Linked DNA regions of Pelodiscus sinensis. The protein of the gene in region 2 purifies or fractionates together with the protein of the main gene of each other region. This does not show direct contact. Links are inferred from orthologs where the notes say so. Each region holds a gene or a part of one and is shown on either strand. Other genes may lie near its edges.

What was found. Proteins that work in one complex are often made in the same cells at the same time.
Region 1: the proteins of OCRL (region 2) and RAB1A purify together in Homo sapiens (co-immunoprecipitation; 3 studies listed by BioGRID and IntAct, with this or other methods). This does not show direct contact. The link is inferred for Pelodiscus sinensis from reciprocal best matches to the Homo sapiens genes OCRL and RAB1A.

The regions. Positions count from the first base shown.
Region 1 is NC_134713.1:183,936,656-183,940,398, reverse strand, and holds the start of RAB1A (ras-related protein Rab-1A), read right to left. Parts: upstream 2,913-3,743; 5' UTR 2,685-2,912; coding exon 2,662-2,684; intron 1-2,661. UniProt on the Homo sapiens protein: The small GTPases Rab are key regulators of intracellular membrane trafficking, from the formation of transport vesicles to their fusion with membranes.
Region 2 is NC_134723.1:1,986,033-1,989,775, reverse strand, and holds the start of OCRL (inositol polyphosphate 5-phosphatase OCRL), read right to left. Parts: upstream 2,804-3,743; 5' UTR 2,650-2,803; coding exon 2,620-2,649; intron 1,801-2,619; coding exon 1,730-1,800; intron 952-1,729; coding exon 872-951; intron 1-871. UniProt on the Homo sapiens protein: Catalyzes the hydrolysis of the 5-position phosphate of phosphatidylinositol 4,5-bisphosphate (PtdIns(4,5)P2) and phosphatidylinositol-3,4,5-bisphosphate (PtdIns(3,4,5)P3), with the greatest catalytic activity towards PtdIns(4,5)P2.

The DNA of each region.
Region 1 (3,743 bases), on a different chromosome or scaffold from region 2:
AAAAAGGTAGGTACAGCCATATTGATACATATGGTCTATAAATAATTGCTCTCACAAGTAGAGCAAAACCAGGAATGAAGATTAATACATCTAACAATTCCCTGCAAGAAACACTACCCCAAACATTTAAGAGTCAGAGATCCTGCATTATGGATAGTTTCTGCCCCCGGTGTTGTAGGAATCCAGAACATTCATTATAGGAAGTCTCATAATTAAGACTAAAGTTGGAATGTTACCATATTTTCCTCCTTGTTTTGTTTACTTACCTGCCAACTAGTCGCTGCCAACTAGTCACTGGAAAACTAGTCACATTAAGATGACACGAGTACGTGTAAACTGTTTTATTTGAAAGCCAGTCTGTGCAGCTACTTCCCATCCTTTCATACAGATAAGGAACAGAGGGTTTTTTTTTTTTAAAAGACTACTCTCCGCCAATTTGTTCAATGTTACAACATTTTAATCAAGTGTTCCTGAACTTCTCCAATAGTTGGTGTAACTGCGAAGCTTTCACTATAACATTTGCTGAAGCCTATTTATTAGATCTTGTAGGCAGTTTTCCAGGTTACTGGGTATTTCAGAAAGGCATAAAAGATCGTGGAAAAGCTTTGATAAATGAAAGTCTTCACATTCACTGATCATATTTAACCACTGCTTTGCCTGAGAAGTAGTTTTGAGAAGAAACAAGAAAATCCAAACGTGTTACATAATTCTAAAACACAGAAACAAGCCAAACATTCTGGTTTGTCTTGAAGTCCAAGATTAAACCTGACCCAGAACTAATCTAATCTTTAATTTGGGGGTGAAGTTAATTCCCTTCCAGCAATGACTGACCCTTTGAAGGATTTTTACCATTTACAGCTCTTCAGAAATCTCATTTTAAGGCTGCTTTCAATTAAACAGCACAAACCCTCCAAGGTTGTGATCATACATCAAGCAAGGAATTAAAAAACCACCACTACAGAGCTGTAAATATGTAAGAACAAACCTGTAGAGCAATAAAAGGTTCATTTCTGAATGTACAGATTTAACTTTGGTAAGAAAAGCTAAGTATAGCCAATAAAGTCAGTCCATAACAATCATTCTTGCATTCCAAATGCTGCAGTTTTGGGATAGTGGATAGCAAAAGAAAGTTAGCTTCATTACCCCAAGCTGAAACCAAGCATGAGAAAGCCAGAAGAAAATAAAGTTAATTTTAAAAATCTCAGTATCTGTAGCATTAGCAACATTCTTTTAAGCCAAGGCCCTTTAATAAGCACAGATTCCCCTCTCTTCTACACTGGAAAAAATAGAGCAGAAAAAAGGTATTGTCCAACTTTAGAGGTGGCAAAGCCACACTATTCTTCACAATCAGCAGTCTCTTGGCAACAGTAACTAGGGACCTCAATCATCTCTACTCCCAAAGTATTGACTGTTCCAAACAAAAAACAAAACCTTAAGACTTAAGGTGATCAAATAAATTGTCATTAGGGTTGTAGTGGTAATATTTTGACTAGTATAAGATATTTCTCATTCATAATGCCTGTATCCCCACTTCAAGGCATCACCTATAGCAACATTTCACTATCAAGCCACAGTATTGCAAAATCTACATAAGCAAGAATGTGTTTTGCAAGAACCATGTGACACACACATGACTTGCAGCAAAAATTAAGGGTGGACTTCTGCATGTTAAGCTGCCAACAACAGCAAGTGGTCAGAAAGAGCTTTTCACAAGAACCAAGTACTCTGGATTTTTAAATCATTGGTCCCCTTCCTCTCCGGTGGAAACATAATGTTTTAGTGACCGAACAAGCTTTAGTAAAGTCTTGAGCAAATAATGGCAATGAGATTTACTTTAAAAATCAAACGGGGTTCTTCTCTCTCCTGCAATGGTTATTTGGAGGAAAGTTCGAAAACAAAGTTCGCTATGAATGTCTGCTCTACTGCTTCTCAGTTTAGTAAAGATACCACAACTAGCTTTTCATGACAAAGCATGAGACCTCTTCACTTCCCATCTGCAAGGATTGCTGTAAGCAACCTAAACGCTCCAGAGAAATCACACTTGTTTCTCTTTCCATTCATCCGGGGTAGGTCTTCCAGTCACATTCTGCACTGAGCAAAATCCACTCTGGCGTTGCAGCCTGTTAAATAACTCAGGAAAACGGAAGTGAGTTTGCCCGGGCTGTGCACAAATCGCTCCTGGTGTCTGACAGGCTGGAGCGCCCCAGAGCCGAGCCGGTGACCTCAGGATCGCCCCCCCCCCCCCCCCCGTGATCCCCTTGTACAAAGCGCAGTGACCTGTCCCTGCCGGTTCAGGTGCAGGAGACGCTGCCCTGCCCGCGCAGTCACACCGATCCAGCCCATCCCGCAGGCCAATCGGGTGCTCGGGGCCACTCACCCCGGCTGGAGGATGCTGCCACCTGGCTCTTGCACAACGCTTCCCACAGCCGGATACCTGCCCCTCGGCCGCATGTCGCCTCCCCCCGCCCCACTCTCACTTCTGGGGCACCGCCCCACACCCTGCCCCCTCCCCACTACAGCCCCGGCCCGCCCCTCGCCGGGAGGCGACACAATGGCCCCCACCCCGCCTGTCCGCCCCGCAGCGGCGGCCTCCCCCTTCCGCAGCCCCCCCCCCCCGACCGGTTAAATTCCCCCCCCCCCCCCAGCGCCGGCCCCACTCACTATTCGGGATTCATGCTGGACATGTCAGAGGGGACCCGCGGCCTCTGGAGAACGAGCTCGCTCTGAGGAGCAGCAGCGGCGGCCAGACCCCCCCCAGCGGGAGCTGCGCGGATGCGGGCGTCCGACGGGGCAGCGGAGGCAGCAGCTTCTCCCCCCTCCCCTCGCAGGCGGCGGCGGCCTCCGCTCCGAGCTCCTCAACCCAAAATGGCTGCCAGCCCCGAACCAGGAAACAGGGAAACCTCTCCCCAAGGAGGGTTTACATGGTGGGAGGGCGGCGGCGGGGGATGCTGGGAAAACGAGTTTCCAGCCGCAGAGCCTGCCCCTCCAAGCCGCTGGAGCCGTGACCAGATAGGGACTCGTCTTCCCGGCACAGCCCGCGCCTGCCGCGGCGCATGCGCAGTCCCGAGCCTTTCTTTTCTCGCTTGGGTTGACGCCGCTTGGATTGGTTGAGAGCGAGCCGGCCGGGTAACGTCAGCCGTGAGACGTGGCAGCTCGGGCGACTCACTAACCCGACTGAAAGAAGAGGGCGTGGCCGCGGGTAGGGCGGGGGCGGGGCAGGGCACCGGGGCCGCGGAGGGTTAGCAGCGGGGAGAGGGAGCACATGCGGGAAGGCAGCGCGGCAGGGGGTGGGGGGAGTAGGGGGCAGGATAGCAGTGAGGGGGTATGGGGTGGGGGCAGGATAGCAGTGAGGGTGCAGGGGATGGGAAGAGTAGGAGTAGGGGGCAGGATAGCAGTGAGGGTGCAGGGGGTGGGAAGAGTAGGAGTAGGGGGCAGGATAGCAGTGAGGGGGTATGGGGTGGGGGCAGGATAGTAGTGAGGGTGCAGGGGGTGGGGGCAGGATAGCAGTGAGGGTGCAGGGGGTGGGAAGAGTAGGAGTAGGGGGCAGGATAGCAGTGAGGGTGCAGGGGTGGGAGGAGCAGGAGTAGGGGGCAGGATAGCAGTGAGGGGGTGGGAGGAGCAGGGGTAGGGGGCAGGATTAGGGTTGCCAGGTTTTGAACCGGATAGTCCAGTATATGAGCTTTCTGTTCGGGAAGCAAATTGAGAAAATATAAATGTCCGGTACTTTCTAAATTGTGATGTCA
Region 2 (3,743 bases):
CCAGCCTAAGGCGCTCACCCCTACAGGCATCACTCACTGAAGAGGTCCTCTCAGAGGGTATGTCTACACTACCCTCCTATTTCGAAATAGGAGGGTAATGTAGGCATACCGCAATTGCAAATGAAGCCTGGGATTTGAATTTCCTGGGCTTCATTTGCATAAGCGGGGTGCCGCCATTTTTAAATCCCCGCTCGTTCGAACCCCGTGCCCCATTCCACGAGGAGTAATGGTAGTTCGAACTAGGAAGCCTAGTTCGAACTACCTAGTTCGTGCCGCGTGTAGCCGCGCGGCACGGGGTTCGAACGAGCGGGGATTTAAAAATGGCAGCGCCCGGCTTATGCAAATGAAGCCCGGGAAATTCAAATCCCGGGCTTCATTTGCAATTGCGGTATGCCTACATTACCCCGCTAGTTCGAACTAGCGGGGTAGTGTAGACATACCCTGAGGCTGTTCCAAAGCTGGGGTCATTGAGTGGGCCTGTAGCTTTATGACAAAACTTGTGGCTCCAAATCCCATGAGACCTCCAGCCTACCCTCAAAGTTCCATGGGGGCTCAGAATCTCATAGGACCCAGCACATCCTGTCCTTTTTACCCTCTCCCGTCATGGGGGCCACCAAAACGCAGCCTTCACTTGGCCTCCATATGCTGCTCCTCATGCTGGCAGCTGAACTAGCCAAACATCCACACATCGATATTTATATTGAGATCCACCAACTCCCCACACAGCTTTGGGAGAAGGAAGAAGCAGGAAGCCGTAATTATAAGCCCTGAGTTTCAGCTCCACAAGGAAACTCCAATGTGTACAGCCAGGACAACAAAGCAGCGGGTTTCTAGCTGCAGAGTACAGGGGCAGGTGTGGGAGCATCAGTACCTTGAACACATCTAAAGCGGCTGTTGATGGGAATGTTATCCTGATCAGGTGTGTCCTTCTCCCGCGAATGGATAACCAACCTGGAGAGAAGGGGAAGACTCAGAACAGCTCCAAAACTAAAAGATTCATGGGCAAAAGGTATTGCTGACACCATGGCTGTATTTCTCCTGAAACCAAAGACCCTTCAATCCCTGCTCTTGATCTACGTTGGTGGGAACAGTGGGGAGGAACAGTTATCCGTAGGTATACAGACAGATGCATGCAATAATATGTGTCTGGAAGAAAAGCTCCCAAAGATGCTTCCTGATCTGCACATGATGAAGGAAGCATGCTAAGTTGCTTACACCAGAAGAAATGGGGAGTCGACTAGGGACCTAACACTTGGAAGCAGGGCCACTTCTCTGTCTGGTAAGAGGACAGCATCCCCAAAGTGAGGGGCAAGACTCCAAGAGCAAGTGTGCTGCTAGTGTGACAGGCCTTTCCATTTCTCAGGGATTTCCTACCCACAAAAGCTATACAGCTTTAACTCATCTAGTAGTGTAACCTCCGACTCCGGAGACACAGGAATGGAGCGAGAGCCATGGAAGAGGTGCCCACACAAGAGAGAGGAACTTAGTTTCACCCCCTACAATAACATGGGATACGCTCACCTTCCCCCAAACACTACACAGCCGTCTGCCAACACAGCCCAGCTGACAAATGAACAATTCCTGTGCCCCACAAGGGCAAGGAAGATGCTGCACCCTGACTCCTATCCAGTAGTACCCCCAAAGCGCAGCCCTGCCACCTCTGTGCAATCCGGCCACCGTGGGCAGCCCACCTCCCTGTGGACCCCGGCCACCCGTGTGCGCTACTCACTCGCACTGCCCGCGGCGCTGGGAGAGGCTCAGGACGCAGGGCACCCTCTGTCCTGCTCTCACCTCCACCGCATGGGCACACGGCTAAGGAACACAGCAATGCCACGGCACCAGAGCCCCCCAGCCCCCCTCCCGGACACCGCTACCCCGACCCGGGACCCCCCGCCCCCCCCGACACCGCTCCCCCGCCCCGGGACCCCCCACCCCCCCGACACCCCTCCCCCGCCCCGGGACCCCCCAGCCCCCCCCAACACCCCTCCCCCGCCCCGGGACCCCCCAGCCCCCCTCCCGGACACCGCTACCCCGCCCCGGGACCCCCCCACCCCCCCCGACACCCTTCCCCCGCCCCGGGACCCCCCAGCCCCCCCCGACACCCCTCCCCCGCCCCGGGACCCCCCGCCCCCCCCGACACCGCTCCCCCGCCCCGGGACCCCCCACCCCCCCGACACCCCTCCCCCGCCCCGGGACCCCCCCAGCCCCCCCGACACCCCTCCCCCGCCCCGGGACCCCCCAGCCCCCCCGACACCCCTCCCCCGCCCCGGGACCCCCCAGCCCCCCCGACACCCCTCCCCCGCCCCGGGACCCCCCAGCCCCCCCGACACCCCTCCCCCGCCCCGGGACCCCCCAGCCCCCCCGACACCCCTCCCCCGCCCCGGGACCCTCCAGCCCCCGACACCCCTCCCCCGCCCCGGGTCCCCCCAGTCCCCCCTACACCCCTCCCCCGCCCCGGGTCCCCCCAGCCCCCCCGACACCCCTCCCCCGCCCCGGGTCCCCCCAGCCCCCCCGACACCCCTCCCCCGCCCCGGGTCCCCCCAGCCCCCCCGACACCCCCCCCCGCCCCGGGTCCCTCCAGCCCCCCCGACACCCCCCCCGCCCGGGTCCCGCGGATACGTCCAGGCTCCAGGCCGCGGGCGGCTCCATGGGCGGCGGGTCGGGGCAGGTCGCTCCCGCGGCCCCGTCTCCCGGCGACTCCCGAGCCGAGGGCGCAGCGAGCGGGCCCGGCCGGGACCCCGCCCCCTGGCGGCCGGAGGAGCGCGCTGCAGCCAGTCCCCGGCCGGGCCGCGCCTGAGCCCCGCGCCCGGACACGCGGCAATGGGCAAGGGACCCTCCCTGCGGCAATGGGCCCGCCCCGCCCTGGTAGCGCCGGGCCCGCCCCGCCCCGCCCACCGCCCACCCCGCCTGTCACCACCGCCCCCGAACTGTCAGCGCCAGCCCCGCCCCGCCTGTCACCACCGCCCCCGCCCACCCCCGCCCTCTCCGCCTGTCACCCCACCCCGCCTGTCACCCCCGCCCCGCCCACCCCGCCTGTCACCGCCACCCCCGCCTGTCACCACCGCCCACCGCCACCCCCGCCCACTGCCCACCCCGCCTGTCACCACCGCCCCCGAACTGTCAGCGCCAGCCCCGCCCCGCCTGTCACCACCGCCCCCGCCCACCCCCGCCCTCTCCGCCTGTCACCCCACCCCGCCTGTCACCCCCGCCCCGCCCACCCCGCCTGTCACCGCCACCCCCCGCCTGTCACCACCGCCCACCGCCACCCCCGCCCACTGCCCACCCCGCCTGTCACCACCGCCCACCGCCCACCCCACCTGTCACCACCGCCCACCGCCCTCTCTGCCTGTCACCACCGCCCTCTCTGCCTGTCACCACCGCCCCCGCCCACCGCCCTCTCCGCCTGTCAGTGCCACCCCCGCCCACTGCCCACCCCGCCTGTCACCACCGCCCTCTCCGCCTGTCAGCTCCACCCCCGCCCAATGCCCTCTCCGCCTGTCACCACCGCCTTCTCTGCCTGTCAGCGCTACCCCCCGCCCACCGCCCTCTCCGCCAGTCAGCACCGCCCACCCCACCTGTCAGTGCCACCCCCACCCACCGCCCTCTCCGCCAGTCAGCACCGCCCACCCCACCTGTCAGTGCCACCCCCACCCACCGCCCTCTCTGCCTGTCACCACTGCCCTCTCTGCCTGTCAGCGCCACACCCGCCCACCGCCCTCTGCACCTGTCACCACCGCCCTCTC